Linked DNA regions of Diceros bicornis minor. The protein of the gene in region 3 purifies or fractionates together with the protein of the main gene of each other region. This does not show direct contact. Links are inferred from orthologs where the notes say so. Each region holds a gene or a part of one and is shown on either strand. Other genes may lie near its edges.

Region 1 (7,511 bases), on a different chromosome or scaffold from region 3:
AGTTCGTTTCACTGCTTGCTCATAAACACACAGGCCTGGCCAACACAGCCTGCATGGACCAAATACCGGTGGATGCTCCTCTTCTAAGTCAGATGGCCACGTGGATGGCCAGCATCCCAGAAATGTACTCTACACCTTCCACTACACTATTATTATCTAATGGCAACTCATTTTTTAAAATCATAAACTCCTACATAAGCCATACGTAGGAGTCACACACAAATGTTAAACTCATGAACACAAAGAGCATTTCCTGCATTGGGATTGCTATTCCTTGTTGGAAACACAGGCCATCTGAATCTCTGAAAAGACATTTGTATCTTTCCAAACACAAACAAGACTTTTTATGAAGTAGTTACTCATAGGTTTGGCTAATTATCAAATCTCTTTCTCCCATTTTAGAACTCATGTCAGGCTCATTTTATTTATGTATACCTATCCCTCCCTCCAAATAGAATTTGATTCTATTTACAACAAATACGTAAGACAAACTGATGAAGTTTTTGTAATGATGATAAAATCAATGTGCCCCTCCCAATTCATATGCTGAAGTCCTAGCCCCCAGTACCTCAGAATGTGATTATATTTGGAGATAGGGGCTTTAAAGAAGTAATTAAGGTAAAATGAGGTCATATGGGTGAGGCCTAATCCAAAACGACTGGTGTCCTTATAAGAGGAGATGAGGACACAGACCGGTACAGGGGGAAGACCATGTGAAGACACAGGAAGGAGACAGCCACCTACAAGCCAAGGAGAGAGGCCTCAAAAGAAACAACCATGCCGACATCTTGATCTCGGACTTGTAGCCTCCAGAACGGTGAGAAAATAAATTTCTGTTGTTTAAGTCACCCAGTCTGTGACACTGACATGGCAGTCCTAACAAACTAATACAAATGATAATAAAGTTAATCTGCTGCAAATTAGGCAAATGAGTTATGATGCAAATTAGTTATGATGAACAGGAAAGCACCAGTCATTCAAGAACTGTCTTGCAATGCTCTTCTCTTGCACATTTAATAAATTTTTTTAAAACCCAAAAGGTACAGGAATGAATGTGTCAAAAAGCAAAAAGGTTTACTCTTTTGCCCAAGATTATACAACACGAGGCAAAGACAGCAACAAAACTCAGATCCCTAATGCTCTTTCCAATTAAACCAAGCCCGAGGAGAAAGAACAAACATATTTCAGAAAGAAATATAATCAGTGTACATTTATAAGTGGATCGCCACGGTGTGATAGCAAATATCTGCTAATGCACGCAAGGCCCTGTGAAACACGGGTACTTCCAGAGAGGCATCAGAGTGAGACAGTTAAGAGCGTGGCTTCGGACTAGACTGCTTGGATTAAAATCCCAGCTCCACCACTTACTAACTGTGGGACCTCCGGCAAATCACTAACCTCTTTGTGCCTCAGTTTTATCACCTGTAGAATAGAGATATAGGGGTAACCACTTCACAGGATTGTTGTGAGGATCAAATGAGTCAATAGTAAGTTGAACCACACAAAATTACCATTTTTACAGATCAAAAATGGTCAAATATCGGCATTTTCACATGGTTCAACAGAAAGCACTGAGAACAGTGTCCGGCACCCAGTAAGTGCTAGATGAGGGTAATAATCATTATTACTATTTCAGTCTCAGCACACTACACTAGCGTGAATTATGAGTTCATACCAACCAGCTATCTGCCTTCTGCAGTGCTTGTGCGCTTCAAACAAACCCCAAGTGTGCAGCCCAGGCTGCCAGTCTCTTCCCTTCACCTCTCCATTGCCCCGCACTCCCACCCACTGAACACTTCCTACTTTAGCGCTCCTTCTGCTGCAGGAAGTCAGAGGCCTCTGTGAAATAGAAGCTAACTACACTGCACCTCAGAGAAGCATGACTGCCTCCATCTCTACTCTCTTTTTCTCCAGATGTGGCAGAGTGACATAAGACCCTGGGGGTCCGTAGAGCAAATCAATGATGCAACTGCGACCAAATCAGGAGTACAGACCTTCTAGGATCAGCCACCTCCCTGATCTGGACTTAAAACAATTCCAGGTATCAGTAGGATCTGGAGCTGATACTCACAAAACAATAGAGGCCTGAAAAGGGCACAGTCTGGCCTGGTCCAGTGACCCAGTCTAGAGCAAAGAAGGAAACACAGGGGTCTGTGTCTCAACTCTTCGGGGCCTCAATTTCCCCAACTTGAAAAAAATCCTTATTTCCTCATCTACCCCGCAATGGTGGGTTTAAAGGGCTGAGGAGGATGTGAGGAAAATTAAGAAGGCACTGGACTTAAGGAATGACAGATGCCATCATCATCCTAGAGTGGGGACACTACCAAGGACATCTTCCTAAATGCTGTCCTCCAGGAAGCCCTCCCTCCCTTGCTAGACCGGCAACCTTTCTTGGCACACCTTCAGCTTTTGGAGCAAAGCTTTTCCCCCAGCAGATCCTCCCCAACAGCACCCCTCAGGTGGGACCCCGTCCTTACGAAGTCCACCCAGCCTTCCTCTCAGCTTGTCCCCGACCCATCCCTTAGACAGACCCCTCATAGGTTCCCATCCTGCTTCAGCATTCCCCCCGCCTCAGTGAGTCCCTTCTAGGACAGCCTTCCCCCAGCGGCCCCAGCCCTCAGCAGGTGCTCTCCCTAACTTGTCGCCACGTTCCTCAGCAGCTGCTCCCTTCAGCAGTCCCCCAGGACGTCCCCCTACAGCAAGTGCTCTCCCTAACCAGCCCCACGTTTATCCCCCTCGGCGCGTGCCTCTCTCTCCCGGACCCCCAGCCGCCAGATGTCCCCCACTCAGCAGGTGCCCCATCACCGGGTCGCCTCGCCCCGCAGGTCCCTCCCCTCGGGGGCTCGACAACGGGTGTCCCCCCTCCGTCAGTTCCCGCCTTTCCTTCCCCCCGACCCCCCTCCCGTTAGCCAGTGGCCCCTCACCGGCGCGGCGGGTTCCTCAGCTGCACCGTCTCCATGGCGCTGCCAGCAGCCGCCCAAGCCCGCTCACTGCCCCATCCTCCCCGGGGACCTACCCGAGCACGCCCCGCAGACCCTCCCACACTTCCGCTTTCCGCCCCTACCGGAAGCCGCGCGGCGCGGGGCGGGGCCACAAGGACCGGGCCTGGGTCACGTGGTGCAGCGGGGCGCGGACCGGAAGCCCGGAGCGGAGGAGACTGTTGCCTGGAGTCCTCAGCCAGGCTTGACGCTCTGCTTGACATGCTGTTCGCCCAAGCCGCTCGGTCCCCACACCGGGAACGCATGTCTGCCTCAGTCCGGCCCCTTATTTCTTAGACTGAGATACTGAGGCTTCTTGCGAAGCGCCAGCTTGATAAAAACTATTGATTCTTAACAAGCCAAGTTCTACGCGATTCCTGGGAATCGCTGTCACCCCCAGGGCCTCCTGGAAGTATTTGTGGTTTTCTACCATTCTTACCTGGTAGAATTCTTGTTCCAGATGGAGACTGGACCGCGCATACCTTCTTGGCTGTCACAGGGCATCAGCCTGCAAATTGCCCCACCCTCTTCCTTAACAGCCTCTCCTTTGAGTCAGTTTGGAGACGTGTATACCTGGGAGAAACCAGGTGTACATGTTATTTATTAAGCTCTTGCCATGTATTTGCTTTCATATATTGTTTCATTTAATCCTCACATCAAGCAGGTATGGTTATCCCCAATTTTATGTGTTGATTATCTGACAAACTGTGCTTACCACTGTGGGGGATCAGAATTTGCCACCCCAAAAATGTGTCTCTTTGGCTTGATTATTTTTAAGAACAAAAGACTTGGAAGGAAACTTCACCTTCCTTCTAACTGCCTAAAAGAATTTAAGATAGAAAGCCTGTTCCAGGAAGGAGCTAATACCATAAGATAACCATAGAATAATATAAACTAGGTTTGATAAACAGGGAGGAACCTAACAAGGGCCTTTTAATCAAAGTCCTCATCTCTCATTGTCTTTGCAAGGCATGGTCAACATTTGTTAACCAAACATTTGGTTTTCCATCTCCATGTAAATTGCCTTCCTCCCCTTTGAAGTCCAAAACCAATAACCCCAACGTCCTCCTTTGTTCTTAGCTGAAGATGGTATTTAAGGTAGCAGCTTCTGCCATTTTGGAGAGTTACTCAGTTTTCCTGGGTTTCTCCCAGGTATACATGTTATTAAATTTGTTTCATTTTCTCCTGTTATTCTGTCTCATGTCAATTTAATTCTTAGATCAGCCAGAAGAACCTAGAGAGTACAGGAATAGTTCTTCCTCTGCTATACCACATTCTCAGTGCTTTACTACTATTAACTCATTTAATACTCCTAACAACCTTATAAGATAAGTACTATCAATACTCTCATTTTATAAGGCCAGGGAAGTGAAGATCACAGAGCTAAAAGAATAGGTTTAGGGATTTAAATCCAGGTCCGTCTGATTCTAGAGCCTGCACCTTAAACTGGACAGCCACTGATGTATACTCTCTCTCTGGGCGTCAGAGTCAGAGCTCCCTCTCCACTCAGAGCTCCAGTTCCAGCTATGGCTATGGTTAAATCCCCACTTGCCACCACCATCAATGAGTGCTAGGAAAATGGCAGATTCCACCCAACTTACCCACGGGGAAAGTTACAGGAGCAAATGTACCCAGAGCAACCACTCACTGTTTTTAATTGTCCTGCTTTTCCCAAAGGTATGCCATCTATGAAACTTAACACCTGAGCAGCCACCTTTCAGGGCCACCCAGGTATGGCACCCCGTGTGCTAAAAATGGGATAATAGAGCCATTCCCCAGACACGGAAGGAAAACATTTACTGAGAATCTACTGTGTGCCAGGCACAATCCTAGACTATCACTTAATTTTCAAAACAACTCTATGAAGTAAGAATTATTAGTCCCAGTTCCTCAGGTGAGGAAGCAGAGACTCACGTATACACGGCTAGTGAGAGCGAAGGTTTTAACCCAAGACTGTCCTGACTCCACAAAATCCATATTTTATTTGCCATTTTGCTCTATCAGCAATCTGTACAAGTGGCAGTGGGAGCCCTGAGGAAGTAAAGATCAAGAAGAATTTCTACAAAGTTCAGGAAGCCATATGGGTCCCTCCTGCAAGAAGTCAACCTCTGTCCTCTGAAATCCCCTCGCACTTTTCCTGTTCTTCTCCCAAAGCACACTCAACGTTTTACCTTATGTTCGGGCCCTGCTGCCCACTGGATTTCTTCCTCCTTGAGGGGCAGTTCTGTGTGGAAGCTTCCATTATGCCCACACACTCATCCCCATAGATGAGTAAGTACTCAATAAACATTTTTAAAAATAAATGTCAATTTGCCAATACACATTGTCAAACATCCCTCCTTTGTCCCTTCCCAGGATTTTTCCAGAAGATAGACTGACATTAGGATTGCCCTCTTTTTCCACAGAACGTCCGGTGCAGCACTGGCCCATAGAAATTCCTGCAATGGTGGAAATGTTCTACATATGTGCTGTCGAAACAGTAGCCACTAGCCACATGTGGCTGTTGAGCACTTTAAATGGGGCTAGTGTGACTGAAAAATTGAATTTTAAAATTTTATTTAATTAATTTAAATTTAAATAGCAAGCCTCAGCCAACCATAATATGCTAATAGCTTAAGAGAGAGAACCAATGAGCAGGGTTACTCGTGCTCCATTCATTCAACACTCTGTGAGCTCCATGGGCTGGCACCGTGTGATTCTCTGCGTATACAAGAATATTTGAGACATATATGAGTCCTACCTTTTTTGCAACTTATAGTGTAGTAGAAAAGATAGTTATTAGGCAGATAATTGATTAATGTAGTGATAAATCATGATAGAAAACTATAATGTGAGAACCTAACGAAGTCTAGTAAGATCGAGACAGCTCTGAGACAGCTGGGACAATCATTCATTCATTCAACACGTATATATTGTGTATCTGCTGTGGCCCAAGCACTGTACTAAGTGCCAGGCAATGAGCAAAAGAGATAAGTTTGTGCCCTCATGTGTGTCACATTCAAGTGGGAAAGATAGACAGTAAATAAACAAACTATATAAATATATAAAATGTCTGGTATTAAAAATTATATGAGAAGAAATTAATGTAAGAGTGTGGAAAGTGGGATGGGGAGTAATTTAGATCAGTGATTAGGGAAAGCCTTTCTGAGGAGGTGATATTTGAGCAGAGATGTGACTGAAGTGAAAGAATAAGTCACACTCATATTTATTTATTTATTTTTCTGAGGAAGATCAGCCCTGAGCTAACGTCTGCCAATCCTCCTCTTTTTTTTTTTTTTTTTGCTGAGGAAGACTGGCCCTGGGCTAACATCCATGCCCATCTTCCTCTACTTTATATGGGACGCCACCACAGCGTGACTTGACAAGCGGTGCGTCGATGGGCGCCCGGGATCCGAACCAGCGAACCCTGGGCCACTGCAGCGGAGCGAGCACACTTAACAGCTTGCGCCACCGGGCCGGCCCCCCACACTCATATTTAAAGAGAATGTTTAAGGCAGAAGGAAACAGCAAGGGCAAAGGCTTACATTAGAAGAGCAGCAAGAAGTTGGTGTGCTTGGAGCAGAGTGAATAAGGAAGAGAAAAGTAGGAGGTGAGGTAGGCAAGGTAGCCAGAGTCAGGTTGAATATGGGCCGTGTAAAGATACAAAAAATTACTAGAAATCGGTTAGGTGTATCTGTTAGCTATCACCATGTACCAAACCATCCCAAAGCCCAGTGGTTTATAACAGTAATTATTTTCTAGGTTTTGGTTATTACAAATAAAACAGTTATGATCATTTGTGTACAAGTCTTTGTGTGGATATACATATAGGCATACATACATACAAAAGGACGTTTCATTTCTTTTGGGTAAATACGCAGGCGAGAAATAGCTGGGTCATATGGAAGACATATGTTGATGTATTAAGAGACTGTTTTCCAAGGTGATTGTACCATTTGACATTTCCACCAACGGTGTATGAGAATTCTAGTTGTCCTCCTCACCTATGCTTGATATGATCAGTGTTTGTAATTTTAGCCATTCTGATAGGTGTGTAGTGGTATCTCATTGTGGTTTTAATTTGCATTTCCCTAATGACTAATGATGTTGAGCATCTTTTTAAGTGCTTGTCATCTGTTTATTTTCTTTTTTAAAGTATCTCTTCAAGTCTTTTGCCTTTCTTAAAATTGGGTTATTTTCTTATTATTGAGTTTTTAGAGTTTTTTTTAAATATTCTGGATGCAAGTCCTTTATCAGATACGTGATTTACAAACATTTTCTGGGGCTTGTCTTTTCATTCTTTTAACAGCATCATTCAAAGAGCAGAAGTTCTTAATGTTTGTTAAGTCCAATTGATTCATTTTTTTCCTTTTAAGGATCATACTTTTGATGTCACACCTAAGAAATCTTAGGGAGGATACTGACCCTGCAGGCTCACTTCCCAGGTTCCCATGTCAGCTGACCAGCCAGCAGTAGTGGGAGACACAGGCTGGGAATAAGAGAGAAGCCAGACTCTTTTTCTGCCTTCTTGCCTCTGATGGAGTATCCAGCAGT
Region 2 (7,115 bases), on a different chromosome or scaffold from region 3:
TTTTTGCAAAAGTAATAATAAAGCAATAATTCAGCATGGCGAGTAGGAGCACAGTCTTGAAGGCAGGAAAGACCTGGTTTCAAACCACAAATTTGCCACATGATACATCGTCTCACCTTGGTCCATTCCATTAGTCTCTGTTGGTTTCTGCATCTACAAAATGGCATAAAGAATACTTATGCCTCAAGTGGTAGCAGTAAGAATCAAGAGGCATAAAAATGATTCGCGAGACAGTGAAAAATCGTGTTTATACTAAAATGTTCTTTCATTCAGGTTTTTTTTTTTTTTTTAAGCATCTTTGCCTCGGCTGCCTGAATTCACTCTGCTGTCTTTCTGAAATTTTTAAGCCAACTCGTTAAAAGCCCTGGTCAGGAGATGAGATGGAAAAAAAGGGAGGGATGAGGTGTCTCAGGACAGGGCACAGAAGGGTTAGTACCTCCCTCCTGTTTTATCCTGAACAGTCAGTCAAAGGCAGGTGCATCTTTAATTTAATCTCAACAACTCTGAGGAATGCCTCCCTGGGCAGCAGCAGCTGCTAATTCCAAGTAGAAAATAAATGTGCTTGTTGTTTTTCTTTTTTAGGGGGAAAGGAGAGGAAAGGAATGTTCTTCCCCAAATGGCACCCAAAAACATTTATCATACAGTTTGAAGATGTGCTTAAAAGCAGGGATGGCTGTCAGAAGCCACCTTCGCACCTCTGAAACTATAACAGCTGAAATGTGGTCCTCTCAACTAAATAAAAATGTACCAGCTTTTACACTGAGAAAGCAAAATAAAAACAGTTCCCTTGTAACACTACCCAGGAAATACACTATATTTGGAAGGCAAAGTTATTAAAGGAATTTTACCTTCTTTTCCCAAGAGTTAAGAATTTTGGCCCACACTCCTGAAGAAAAAAAAAAAGCAAGGACAAAAAAAAATTGTCGAGACCAGATACCACCTGGTGACCATCTGATACTGACTTCAGGGCACAAGCTACCCAGGCTTGAAGTCCCTTTCCAAACTGATTCGCTTTCCACAAAGGCCAACTACCTCCACGGTAAAAACTCTAAGTGAGGCCTTGGTGCTGGATTACAACCTGATTAACACAGCATAGAAGTCAGTCTAAAGGAAATATTAACTAAATGCATTTTTGTTATCATTACAAGAGGCCCCCCTTGCTCTAGTCGTCAAAAATAATTTTTCACGCAGTTCACCTTGCCTTCCTGCCTCTAAATTCAAACCAAACCAAAGCAAGAACTTTAAGAAATACCAAGAAACCACATCTGATTTTTACCTAGCGGTCAGCAAAAGCTTAGGTTTTAAATGCGTGTTCAATTTAAAGGCTCTTTAAATGAGATTCAAGAACAGTTTTCTTCAGGCACACTCAAGATATTAACTTTAACTGCTACTCCTTAAAAAAAAAAAACTCCGGCCAAAATTCTGGTAACTTTATGTTCCTATTTTTCCAGATTTCAAAGCTGAACAGTGAAACCCACTTTTCACGGTTTAAAAAAAAGGAAAAAACATCTGCCTCAGAAGAGGTGGGGCAGATCCCCTGCTCCTAAGAGGCCAGGTAGGTGCCCTGTTCTCAGCCCTCAAGGGCGAGGGAAAAAGAAAAAATGAGCCTGCAGATGTCTGTAAAATAAATAATCCACTTGGAAAACTGTGGTTGTTTTCTTAGGTCCACTCGCTTAGCTAAACTGAGAGAGCAAAACTTGGAAGACATACCGTATCGTGAGATTTGAACCCTAATCATTTTGCCACCATATATGCGCTTACAAACAGTACAAGTTAGTCACGGATGGTGGTTTTCTTTTTCAAAGGGCTAAGAACAGTGCCCAATGGCAAAAGACCTTAATACATTCACGTTAATTTGAAATTCAACTTCTCTCCCCCTCCAAAAAAGTCACTGGTCGGCCAGGATGCCACAAAGTATCAAAGGAGAGGTTGACTGGGAAGGAATTCATCCGGATCCAACCAAGTCTGAAAGTAAAAGCCCAGGGTCCCGGGGTCCGGCACGCGAGTGCACGGTGTCCGACTGATTGCTTCTTCCAGAAGGTTTCCAGGCTCGCACTTTCCCATCTGCACCAGGACAGGCGCGGAACGAACGCGCTGGAAGTGGGGCTGGCACCTACACCTTGCCGCACCCCGCCCTGCCTCCTCCAGCCGGCCGGGCCCGGCCCAGGACGAGTCGGGGCGCGTCCGGGGCTGCCCTCCCGCCGCTCAACTCTCCGGCCGCTCGCCGGGGGGACAGGGGCCTCCGCCGCACGCAGGGCCCCGAGCCGGATCCGGGCCTCCAAGGGCATTTCTGCGCATCCATTCTCCCCGGGGAGGTCGCCGGCGCCGGGCCTGCACTCGGGAGGCGTTGGGAAGAGAGCAAAGCGGGGAGGGCAAGGCGGCTGGCACCCCCGCATCCCTCCCTGACCGCGGCGACGCCGGCCGGCGAGGGCCGCCTCCAGGCCGCGGCGCCCCGATCCCCGCACACCCCCGCCCCCGAGCCTGGGGCCGCGGCGCCGGGCAGTGGCCCCGGGGGCTGGGAGTACCGCGCGGGCGGCCGGCGCGACCCCGGAAGGGCAGCGTGGGGGGGCCGTGTTTACACCGCCAAGTTCCCGCTTCCGCTCCGGCCCGCGCATCCCTCCCTCCCTCGGCGGCCCGGCTGCTGCCTACCTGCATGCCGGGCAGGCCCGACTGCACCGGGGAGTGTGCCATGGCGCTCGGGACGGCCAGTGCCTGGGACGGGACGGTCGGGCCGCGGCGATCCGCGCGGGCGACGAGGCCCGCGGGCCGCGCGCAGCCCTCGGGCGACGGGGGCGGCCGGCCGGAGCCCGAGGCCACCCCAGCCCCGGCGGGTCCCGGGCCGGGCGGCGAGCTCAGCGGCGGGCGGCGGGCCGCGTCTCCATGCGCGGCGCCGGGGAGGGGCTCGAGGGGCGCGGGGCCTCGCCGCCAGCTGCCGCCGCTGCTGCTCCGCTGGAGCCGGGCGGCCTGGGCCCGCGCGCGCCGGTCGCCTGGAGCCGGAGTGGGCGCGCACAGCCGGCCGAGCCCGCGAGTGCCGAGCGCCCCGCGCGCCCCGCCCCGGCCCGGCCCCCGCGCCCGCCCCCGCGGCCCGGCCGGGGACCCCGCCCCGCGCTTCCGGGAGGGGGAGGAGGCTCGCGGCCGCCCGGGGCCCTAGGCCGCAGCCGCCTGCGCCGCCGCCTGCCGGGGCGGCCGGGGGTCGGAGCGTCTCCCGCGGGCTGCCCCTCCCCCCAGCGGCAGGGCAGAGCGGGAGGAGGATGGGCAGCCGGAGGGGAGGTGGGGGCGGGCGGCCGCCCGCCCGGCGGGGAGACGAGGGACGCGGCTTGGAGGCAGGGATGGGCCGCGTGCCCACCACCCCCACCCCACCCGCGGGCCCAGTCGGGCCCTAAGGGGGTCTGGGCAGCGCGGGAGCGGTGCGCACCGACTCTTCCTCTATCCTCCTCCTCCTGCCCTCCCAGCCAGCCCACCGCTCGCCATCTGCCCCCGAACAAACTGGCTCCGGGCGGCCTCCTCGAGGGTAGAGTCTGGGGCTGGGGGACCTGGGGAGGGAGAGTGCCCCGCGGGGCCTCAGCCAGTGGCCAGTTCAAAACTACCAGGGCGGAGCTTCTTCGGCGTCTGGGTAAAGTTTCCTACCAACCCAAGGAGGAAACCGAGAGGGGAGAGGCCGAGAGCTGTTAATCCCCCGTGCTTTTGCTACTTGAAGACAGCCCCGCTTGGACTTCGAGGCGCTGCAAACTTAGCTAAGTGAGGGGGCTCCGCACCAGGGCGGGAGCGGCCACCCACGAGAAGGGAAAGGTGGGGGAGGGGCAGGGAGGAAGGGAAGACAATCGAAGGAAACGTGTCTAGACTTACCCCGGCCCTCTCCCTCTTTCGGCTACCAGCGAAAGGGCCAGCTCCGCCTTCAGCACCAGTTCGACCCCCACCGTTTAGCCACCTCTTCTCCAACTGCAGAGGAAAGACATTAGGAATGAGTCAATACTGCCTCCAGAAAGTATTTTATTTACAATGACAGAGTGGCAGCCACTGAAGTGATCTGCTGCACCTCAGGTTGTGGGGACCCTGGCTCCTCATTCATGCCCGTGAATGCTTTTGTTGCACCATCGCTGTGCTAGGTCGGACGTACAAAAATGAGCCCCCCAGAGTTCACAGACTATTGGAGGAAACTCTAAAAGTCCTCTACTAAGGCAAGGAATGTTTCTTCTCTGAGATGTCACTGTGTTCTTAACAACTTCAGGTCCCTCTGGTGCTCTGGATCAGAGAGTGGGGTGCTTAGACTGAATCCCTCTTTCCCTTTGGAAATATGCATGTTTTTCCTCGAGGTCCTTCAGGATGGTTCACACACCTTCATGGTTGTCACTGGTACACTGTTTTCACTGAAATATGAAGCCCTGCCACCTCCAAGGAATGTGAAGAGCATGTGGCAAATACAAAGTTAAGAAAAGCATGAATCCTGATACCTAGGAGCTTGCCATCTTGTATAAATCTTGTGTACCTAAAAAATGGTTACGTAAAGAGATGAACAGCAAAACAAGCAAAAACGTGAGTCTTAAAAGGGTTAATACTCTTTAACCCTGGAATTCTACTTAAAGTAACAAATGCTGAGGAAACAACCAAGAAGTGCAGAAGAACGTAGATAAAAAGATGCAGTGCAGTGATATTTATAATTGTGGGAAAATTGGAAACATTAAAAGTCCACAGAGATTTTTAAGTAAATGATAGTATATTCATAACGTGAGTTCTAGGTAGTTATTAAAAATTATGTATTTCAATATTTAGTAACATGGAAGAATATTTTCATTATATATTATTAAGAAAGAAAATACAGGGTACAAAATTATGTATAGTCTGATCTCAAGCTACTCCACATATATGAATTTATAAATTTAACATATATATAATTTAAATTTATATAATTTTATGCATATATGCATAAACAGAGAAAAACTTGGAAGTATATTTACCAAGCAGTGGCTATCCCTGGAATTAAAGGTGATTTTTTCAGTAGGTGGTCAACCAGTAGAGACTATCATGCTAAAGAAGTCTCTCCTTAGGGTGAGCCGTCAGGGCAATAACATGGCAGCAAGATAAGGAGGAAGAAACAGGACAAGTGGGCAGAAATGTTTGGGCCCTGATCTGAGGCATTACCATAGGAAACTCTCAAAGAACACTGGGGCCCACTTTACGGTGGGCTAATTTCCAACAAATGTGCCACAGGGGACACTGGACCATAACAACCTGGGTATAAAAAGTAATCAGAATCCCGTTTTCTATCCAGAGGCTAGTGAGGCTAAGAACATGTTGGTTACAATGGGATATAACTTATCTGCACACAGTGACCTGCATTCATTAGCTGGTCTATTTCCTTGTACCCTGTTTATCTCCTCACCACGACTAAACCTCATTTCCTCCTTCAACCATATTTCTACAATTGAGCACCATTCTCCTTGAAAGAGAAGAAAGAAGCAAAATAAGAGTTACTGGTGCAGCTCGGTCATATGCAGACATTACCCGGGATTCCCCATCAGTAGCCCTCTCCCTTTGTTTTAGCAGAGCAGAGATGATTGACAGGGCCCGAGCCCATGATGAGATCCTGCCCAATTGCTCATTGCATTGGTTCATACATTAACACATTGTTCTGAACGCCAACTACATGTCAGACATCTAGGTTAGTGTTGGGCATATAAACGCTGGATCCTCAAGTGCCTCTTATCCCATCCTAGGGACATGGTCTCCCAGAATGCTAACTTCAGAATTTTACAATACCACAACTGATTAAACTTAGAGTCACAACAGCTATAATTTCCACAAGGGAAAGAAGGTTATCCTGTCATCCTCTTCCTCTGGTCACTTTGTCTCCACCCTCAACTTATAATTACAACAGATCATATACTATTGTAATTTCAGAAGGAGAGATTTTGAGGGTCTCCATAGAGATTATGCATTTTCTGGTCTCCATGGAGACACTTGCTAACCCATGGAATTATTTTCATCCCCTGGCTCTCTTTGTCTTTTGTGTTGACTTAAGGACATGAATTGGGCAATGAATTGTGCTCTGACATATATTTGGGACCACAAAGGACATTTCCATACCCTTACAATGAGCCCCTCCAAATATAGAGCCCTTGTGTATTGAAGTTCCCTAAGCCAGCTCTGTAGTCTCAGCAGAGCTCAAAGAGTGCAGCCGAAAACAAGAATTCAACAATCAGTCCCTTCACTTCTCCTTCTGAGTTGAAAAGATAAACACCCCCAAATGCCACTTTATAAAGAACAGCTAGACAAGTAGCACATTAGCAATTTAAATTTGCAGATTAAAGAAAGGGACTTACATGGTGAACTTTAAAGGGAGAAATATGAGTAGCTTGGATAAGTAACTAACAGAAGGCTTGACAAATTTCTACACATGTTCAGCAGGTGAAGACACAAAAGAGGAAGACAGATTATTAAAATCAGTATGAAGAAGCATGCCTCGTCATAGTTAGATGACATGATGGCAAGAAAATATATGCTAAAGCCCTAGGAAAAGATCCAGCTACATTGAGGTATGGTGCAAACGAAGTTTCATTGTGTGGGTGTGAAGCTCAGAGGGCCAGCTCTCAGAGCGACGTGGCTCCACGTCCGTTTTTGGTTGCTAGGGCTGCCATAACAAAGTAGCACAGGCTGGGCGGCTTAAACAACAGAAATTTATGTCCTTACAGTTCTGGAGGCCAGAAGTCCTAGATAAGATGTGGCAGGGTTGATTTCTTCTGAGGCATCTCCTTGGCTTGTAGATGGCCATTTTCTCCCTGTATCCACACATGGTGTTCTCTGTGTGTACGTGTGTGTGTTTCATAACCTCCTCTTCTTATAAGGACACCCGTCATATTTGATTAGGGCCTACCCTAATGACTTTATTTTAACTTAATTACCTCTTTGAAGACCTTATCTCCAAATACAGTCACATTCTGAGGTACTGAGGGTTAAAACTTCAACATATGAATGGGGTGGGGGGACACACATGATTCAGCCCATAACACACCCTTTTCACTGTATGCACGTTTGCGGTCAGCCCCTTTAAGTGGTTCCTCGAGGCTCAGCTCCCTGAGCGAGAGCTTCCTCTCTCCCAAGGCCTGTGGACCTTTCTG
Region 3 (7,417 bases):
ATAAAAGAAAAAAATTTCCCATTACCTTCCTAAGACTCCACAGCACTACTATACTATATTGCAAAGACCTGTCGAGATGGTTCCCTCTTCCCCTCAACCCAAACACCCTCCTCCCTAAGTACTGAGCCCTTAATAAGGGTGCTAAATGATTTACATAATTACCTCAATTCTCAAAACAATAGTAGGTACCATCATTATTCCCAGAAGAGAAAACTGAGGCTTAGAGATGTTTAAAAAAAAACTTGCGTGAAGTAATGCTTATAGAAGGAGGGGATTCTTGTGTTGTATAAAGGAATTTGCTGGGAATATATATTAGGCCTGGGGACTTTTGTTATGAGACAATTATAGCAGAAATTCTCAAACTGAAAATTTCACACAGAGAAAACAATTAAAGATATTTGGTCAAACTGTGGGTTTTCTTTGGAACTGCATACCTCACGATATCTGACACACAATAAATGCTCAATAAAAATCTACTGTCTGTTCAAACCTAAATTTTAAATAGTTAATTCCTAAGACAATTTGATCACATGGCACAATCTGATAGGGTATTTGTTTTAACTAGATTAAGTGGTACAATAATCAATAATTATAGCTACGCCTAAAGTAATGGCCTCATATTCTGAATGTGGTTTAGCTAATAAAGCAGGGGAAAAAAGTGAAAATGGTAGAAATAAGCTGTGTATCCTTTAAAGATAAGTTTTTCTAATAACAAATTCCATTCAAAATTTTAACACGTCATCTCAATTTCTACAATAAACACTCATTATTGACCTATTCTCTCATCTCAAAATAACCTATTGTGGGGGTTTTAGAATAGCCATGAAAAGCACTGTTCATGTAATCATTATTTTTCAAATAAGTAAAAGAAAAAATCTGAGTCTCCTTTGAGTACTGAATCAAAGCAAAGAATGTGCATTTGCAGAGTATGTACTTTAAGCAAACCTGTTTTCTGATTAAGTTGGACCAGGCACATAAAGAGACAAATATGTAAAAGCTGGTTGAGTTAACGCACTAGCAGTTAACTGATGTTTGAATTTCATTTCTGGAAAGATGAGTTCTATGAATATTCACTTTAAATGATTATGGGTAATCTATGAAGTCTTTCAGGTACCCAAACTTTAGTTTCCAGGGGGAAAAAAAGGGTGTGTTCCCAGGTAAATGATCATCTGGTGTTACACCGAAAAAATAACATACTTTTCTGTTCTCATCCCACACACGGAGTAGGGTTTGGTATTATGCAAGCACACAGCACTTGGGCAATCTTTTCGTCCTTTCTTCGAAAAATAATTTATATAATAATTCCTTAATTCAGTAGCAAAAGAAGTATTGCTTTCTCTCTTCCTTTTGAGGCTCAGGTTTCTTTCATTTCAAAGCACTACTCTTGACTTAAATTCTCTTTTTAAAAAAGATTTAATCATTTAACTCAGAAAGAGGGAGCAAAAAGTCAGGAGGTGAAACCAGAGATATTTTTATTAGTCTTATATAACTTACTCTAAGTTAGAACTGATTCAGTAGCTCAACTAAAACCTGAGGTTTAAGCACAAAAATAAGCTCTTTAGTATATTCTCCAAACACATAAAGAGTTTTAAAAATTGAAAGGATCTGTCTGTATTTTTTTTCTTGTATTCATAAAATATAAGCACTCACATGTATAGCAAAATAGGGTGCCAACATAAAAATGCTAAAATGGAAGAGCACTAAATTCATCCTATCACATCTAGGTACTGTAATAATTGATAGAATTGGATATAATTTCAGAAAATAAATTGATTTCCTAAATATCACCTCTGTAAGTATGCATTAAGTGTTTTTAGTAAATGCTGCGGGGAACATCAAAAACTGATTTTCAAAAGCAATAGGTATACGTTAACCCAATATGCAAACAGAACTCTGAAAATGTCAAGTTAACAGTTGTTCATGCTTAATTAAATTGGCTTTGATAACTGCAAATTACTCCCACACAATTTACACAAAGGACTGTCCTTACTAGAAAGGCCCTGATCTGAACTCAACTAAAAGCTATGTGTTAACTACCTCTCACCACTGAGACACTTGAGCCCCAGTGTAATACTGGCCACGGATTCCCTGCATTGCTTTGGGAATTGCTCCTTGCTTAATCAAGCACTGAACTGCAAATTCACCTTTCTAAAAAGACTGAAAGCAAGAAGCCAAGTTTCACTATCTAGTTTTCCGAAACGAATTAGGGTTTGGGATTTCACTGGGAATGACCACATTATCAAGATGCCATCACCCTAGGGTTTGGGATTTCACTGGGAATGACCACGTTATCAAGATGCCATCACCCTCCTGAGGCGTTTAATTACAATACCTCTCTGTTTTCCATTCAACCACCTCAATTAAATTTCCACTAGAACCAGACACAAAAACTTGATTCCGTGGCCTTGCTGAAAGTCTCCTGCGCGTGCAAACCCTGGGATCCCGAATACATTATGCAAAAACGGCAAAGGCATAGGAAAAATAAAGACTGTTAGACAATGTGGTGACATTACCTTGCCCGTCTTGTGATCAAACCAGACGAGAGCATGGTTCCTTGACAGCACTTTGCAATCAAAGGTAGCATTATTCTGCGCTGGTCGACAGCGGGCCACGGAGCGGCCGATTTTAATGGGCTCGTCCAGGTAGACATGACGCTCCTGAAACGGGTGCGAGTTCGGGCGGCAAGTGAAGATGGCCAAGGCTGACGGCATCGAGGACAGACTGGGGGTGTCTCTCCTATCAAGGGACAAAGAGGAGTTCCACCGGATCCGGACTGCCCTTCACAAGCCTATACCCCTATCCCCCCCAAAATTTTAAATTAAAACAAACTGTGCATTGTCTAAGCATAACCAGCGAACATCAACAACTCTTCTTCACTTGAGTGGGAAGACAAGCCAGCGAAAGCCCCATTACCTCCTTTAAAACCCAGCAGCGCCCTGATCACAAAAAGTCCCCAACTGGCAGCTTTCAGTCCATCTTCTTCCCTGGGATGAAAAGACTCAAACATCGGACAGCTTCGGCCAAGAAAACTCCTGGAAGACAGTTTGGAGATTGGAGGTATCCAAGCAGATGAGTCACACACCAATTCTTGTGTTTTGTTTGGGATCGCGGCCGCCTTTCCCCCTCGGTGGCGGAAATGTTGCAGCACTGCAGCATGAAGGAAGGGTCGGTTCGGTGCGGCCAGCAAGGTCCTTTCGCGCTGAAAGAAGGTGTAGCCGAGCACCTCTGGGCAGCCACTGCCCGTCCTCGAGGGCCTCGAGAGGGGAGAGACAGACGCGAGGGGGTCTAGACGGCCAGCGGGACAGTCTGCATGGCCCCTGCTGCGCGGAGGCCGCCCGGGAGGTGGCACGGGTCCCTGGCCCCGCACGAGCCGAGGCGGCGGTGGCTGGGTCCTTGGCGCGAGGAGCGGGGACTGGCGGGAGCGCGGGCAGAGGCCGAGTCGGGACTCCCCGACACCTGGCGGGCGTCCCCGCGACCAGGGCGGGGATCCGGCTCCGCAGGCCGGTGCGGACCGAGCGAGGCGCGACCCCGGGGAGGCTCGGTGGTCTCCGCCCGCAAGAAGTTGGTCCCTGGACGCCTGGGCTCCTGGCTGCTGCTCAGCACACCGGCCGCCTCCCCTCAGGGTCGCCCCCGCGAGGGTCGCATCTCAGGGACGGCAGCCGCAGCTCCCGGCGGACGAGGAGGTGGGGGAGGGAGGCCGGCCCGGAGGTTGGGGGAGAGGCCTGGAGGCCCCGGGCTGGGTCCGCCGCAGCCTCCACCACTCGCGGCCGCTGGGACACGCTCAGGCTGTGCCCGACGAAGCAAGAAACTTTCCGACCTGGTGGGGGAAACATCAAAACAAACGGCCGTCAGGCGCCGGTGCCCGCCCGCCTCAGCCCTCATCCCCCTCAACCGCCCCCCGCCAGCCCCCGCCACGGGCCACGACCTCGGCCGACCTCTCCGCAGAGAGGCTGCGGGAATTTGGAGCCCGGACACCACGACGGGTCCAGCCTCCCTTGCCGCCGCCGCCGCCTCAGCTTACCTTGCCAGCGCCGGCCGCCATAGTGACTCTGACTGAAACCTACCGGGTGCACCGCCACGGGAACGCGCACCCTTCAAGGGCCCTCCTACCCCCTCTCCCGCGCCGTAGTCCGGGGAAGTCACGTGATCGACGCCGCGGAAGCCATGACGGTCGAGGGCAGAAAAGAGGGCAAGATAATTTTCAACGATTCTCCGGGCGCCATCTTAGTTAAGGGCTGAAAGCTTCAAACCATGGGACAACCTTTTCGGCCCTTTTGGTTAAGGGCAAGAAAAAATTTGACCTGTTGAAGGTTTTCTAAACAAAACGTGCCAACTTCCTACTTTACCATCTTGGTAAGAAGGCACCAACTTTTACTAAATTTTATTCACTATCGTTCTTGTTGAAAATGGCAGCGAGCAAAGAGAACAGATCCATCCAAAGCAAATGTTCATTAGCAGCCATCTTAGCTGTGGGCAACACAGTCCCCCACAGCCGCCTTAGGTGTGAACAACCAAATTCCCACAAGTCTCAGGATTTGTGCATCTAAGATGACAAAGTCCGTCCTCTTCCTGCTAAAGTCTTCCCTGTGTATCCTACCCGGAGAAAAACTCTTTCTTAGTCCCCGCATTCTATTTCGAATGACCGCTTTTCTCACTGGAACTGTCATGTCCCTCAGGGCTCCAAACACAGATTCTACCCCAGAAAGAGTATGACTTAAAAGTTTAAAGTCACGTTGCTTCTAGAGAGATGTCATCAATTTACAATATGAAAAAAAGGGGGTGTGGCCCCCCACTCATGATATTAAGGTAGATGAGGAGTCATTGGTCTAAAGAAGGGAAGACTGCAAAATCTGAAAGAAAATTTCAAGAAAAGATGGTGGGAAGGAGTCATTCATTTAGAGTCAATGGTGGCTTCATTCTTCAGATTCCTTTGACAACAGGCTCCACCACTGTGTGACCTTGGGCAAGTTTCTAAACCTTTTCAAGCCTCGTTTTCTCATCTATAGCATGCAGATAATACATAACTCACCTGTTCTTGTGAGAATTCAAGACGATAATCCATGTTGCTCAATGAAGAGTAACTATTGTTCATTTCAATGCTTATTCATAGGCTTTTGGCCCTGTCCTAAAATCTGTGCTGAGTCCTAGGGGTGAACAAAACCTCAGTCCCTGCCCTCTAAGGGCTCATTGAGGTATTATTGGATAGGAATTTGGGGAGAGAGGTGACAAACATGGATACAAATAACTTCACTTTGATGTAATCAGGGCTAAGATGGAGGCAAGCACTGGATCCTAAAGGGGTCAGGGACAGCCTTCTAGGGGAAGTAACTGAACTGAATGAATGAAGGTAGGAAAACCACAATAAATATGGTATTTACTGAGTGCCTTCATAAATTTCCAGAAAGAGGGACTAGGAAGCAAAGGAACAAGGCTATTGAAACAGTGGACCAATGTGCCTGGCATATAATAGTGACTCAATAAATATTTGATACCTCAATAAAAATTACATATTGTTATTCATTATTACAGGATAAAGCAGGAGTGGCACAAAGTGAATCTGGAGACAAGAATATGCATTCGATTATAAAGCCTTCATATACTTTTCTAAGACTCTTCACTAATTCAGCAAATATGTATTGAACGACTACTGTGTCCAGTTACTTTATTCTGGAGAAAAATAAGGATATGTTCAAAAGTTTTCATATAAAGATGAAGAGTTTTCATTTTTGGTAACTTTTAGGCTTATGTGGAATAAAGTAATATAGGTCCCTCCACAAATCCCTGATGAGTTCTGTGCATGAATTTATAAGTGACTTATGCATTCCTTCATTCATTCATTCTATAAATATTTAATTGAATATCTACTGGGAAACAGATACTTTGAAAGGCCCTGGAAATACAACAATGAAAAAAAAAGATTCCTTTGAATTGCTCATAGTTTAGGTGATGACACAATAAGATCCCTGCCATAATGAGTATATCAAGAGTAATGGGGCCCAGCCCCAATGGTTAAGTTCGGTGCACTCCGCTTCAGCAGCCTCAGTTCTTGGGCACGGACCTACACCCCTTGTCTGTCAGTGGCCATGCTGTGGCACGGCTCACGTACAAAAAGAGGAAAATTGGCAGTGGATGTTAGCTCAGGGCGAACTTTCCTCAGGAAAAACAAAGAGTAATGGGAGCATGGTAGAGTAGTTTAAACTGAGACTTGAAAAATGAGTAGGAGTAGGCAAGCTAGTCTGGTAGTAGTTGGATAACAAAATTTTAGGCCAAGAAAATATTATAAACAAAGACCCAGAAACTTGAGAGAACAGGACCTTAAGGGAATTACAAGCAGGTCTGTATTATTGCAGTATAAGTGGAAGTGGGGGTGTTCAAGGAGAGGGGCACAGAAGTATGATTTCAATTGCTGGAGGATTCATAGGCAATGCAATAAACTTCAGAACATTTCCATCTTTCTCCTACAAGGTTAAAGTAGAGTAATGAAAATCAAGGTTTCAGAATCAGACGTTGCATCACCATTTACCAGCACTGTGAATGGTAAATTATTTAGCTTCTCTAAGTCTCAGTTTCTTCATTTGAAAAAAGTAGACAATACTTCACAGAGTCTTGTTAGGGTTAAATAAGATAACGCAAGACAAAGTGCCTACCATGATGTCTAGAAAATAGTAGATATTCAGAGAATGTTAGTTTTTATTATTATTACTAATAGTAAGAATTCCCCCAGCCTTCCACATACAGTAAGGAGCAAGTTGTATTATCCCTAATTTGTATATGGACAAACTTGTTCACAAATATGGAAACAAGAAGTGTCTCTTTACGTTCAGTTCTACTACAATCTCTCTTAAAACTAATGTTAAACAGAATAGGCTTTTTTTCTCCAAGAAAAGCTGGGATTGCTATAACCTGGAAGAGTAAACAATCCTACCAAGCTACACAGGGTGTGGAAATGCCAAAATGGCATTGAAGGCGTTCTTCACCCACTGGTATTCGGCAGGCATAGAAAAGGCTTAAATTAAGAAATCTCATACATGAGATATTTTGAATTCTAAGCCATGTGGGTGTTCCTCTCGATGATTCTGTATCCATACAGTATTTTAATTAAACAAAAAACATGTCATGTTTTGAGAAATTTGGAATGGTAGTGTTTTCCAATGTTGCAGCTTTCTCTCCTTTTTTTTATTTTTACATTTTTAATAGACTGATAACTATCACCACTGCTATGATCCATGCTACTTTTCAATCTTAGAAAAGCAAAGAGAGAATTGTGAAATTATTACCCTGGTACCATGAAAGACAGGCAATTATTAGCATTTCAGATGTGTAGGAGATGACTCTGTAAACTCACTTAATATGCAACCTTCCCTAAATGATAATGATCTAACTGGACTTTAACCAACAACATACGATACAATGAATT

Evidence for each region.
Region 1: the proteins of SLMAP (region 3) and STK4 purify together in Homo sapiens (co-immunoprecipitation; 3 studies listed by BioGRID and IntAct, with this or other methods). This does not show direct contact. The link is inferred for Diceros bicornis minor from reciprocal best matches to the Homo sapiens genes SLMAP and STK4.
Region 2: the proteins of SLMAP (region 3) and STK24 purify together in Homo sapiens (affinity purification with mass spectrometry; 6 studies listed by BioGRID and IntAct, with this or other methods). This does not show direct contact. The link is inferred for Diceros bicornis minor from reciprocal best matches to the Homo sapiens genes SLMAP and STK24.

The regions. Positions count from the first base shown.
Region 1 is NC_080758.1:16,216,488-16,223,998, forward strand, and holds the start of STK4 (serine/threonine-protein kinase 4), read right to left. Parts: upstream 3,013-7,511; 5' UTR 2,960-3,012; coding exon 2,925-2,959; intron 1-2,924. UniProt on the Homo sapiens protein: Stress-activated, pro-apoptotic kinase which, following caspase-cleavage, enters the nucleus and induces chromatin condensation followed by internucleosomal DNA fragmentation.
Region 2 is NC_080748.1:74,651,023-74,658,137, forward strand, and holds the start of STK24 (serine/threonine-protein kinase 24), read right to left. Parts: upstream 3,014-7,115; 5' UTR 2,692-3,013; coding exon 2,650-2,691; intron 1-2,649. UniProt on the Homo sapiens protein: Serine/threonine-protein kinase that acts on both serine and threonine residues and promotes apoptosis in response to stress stimuli and caspase activation.
Region 3 is NC_080741.1:57,749,659-57,757,075, reverse strand, and holds the start of SLMAP (sarcolemmal membrane-associated protein), read right to left. Parts: upstream 3,004-7,417; 5' UTR 2,712-3,003; coding exon 2,514-2,711; intron 1-2,513. UniProt on the Homo sapiens protein: Associates with the striatin-interacting phosphatase and kinase (STRIPAK) core complex, forming the extended (SIKE1:SLMAP)STRIPAK complex.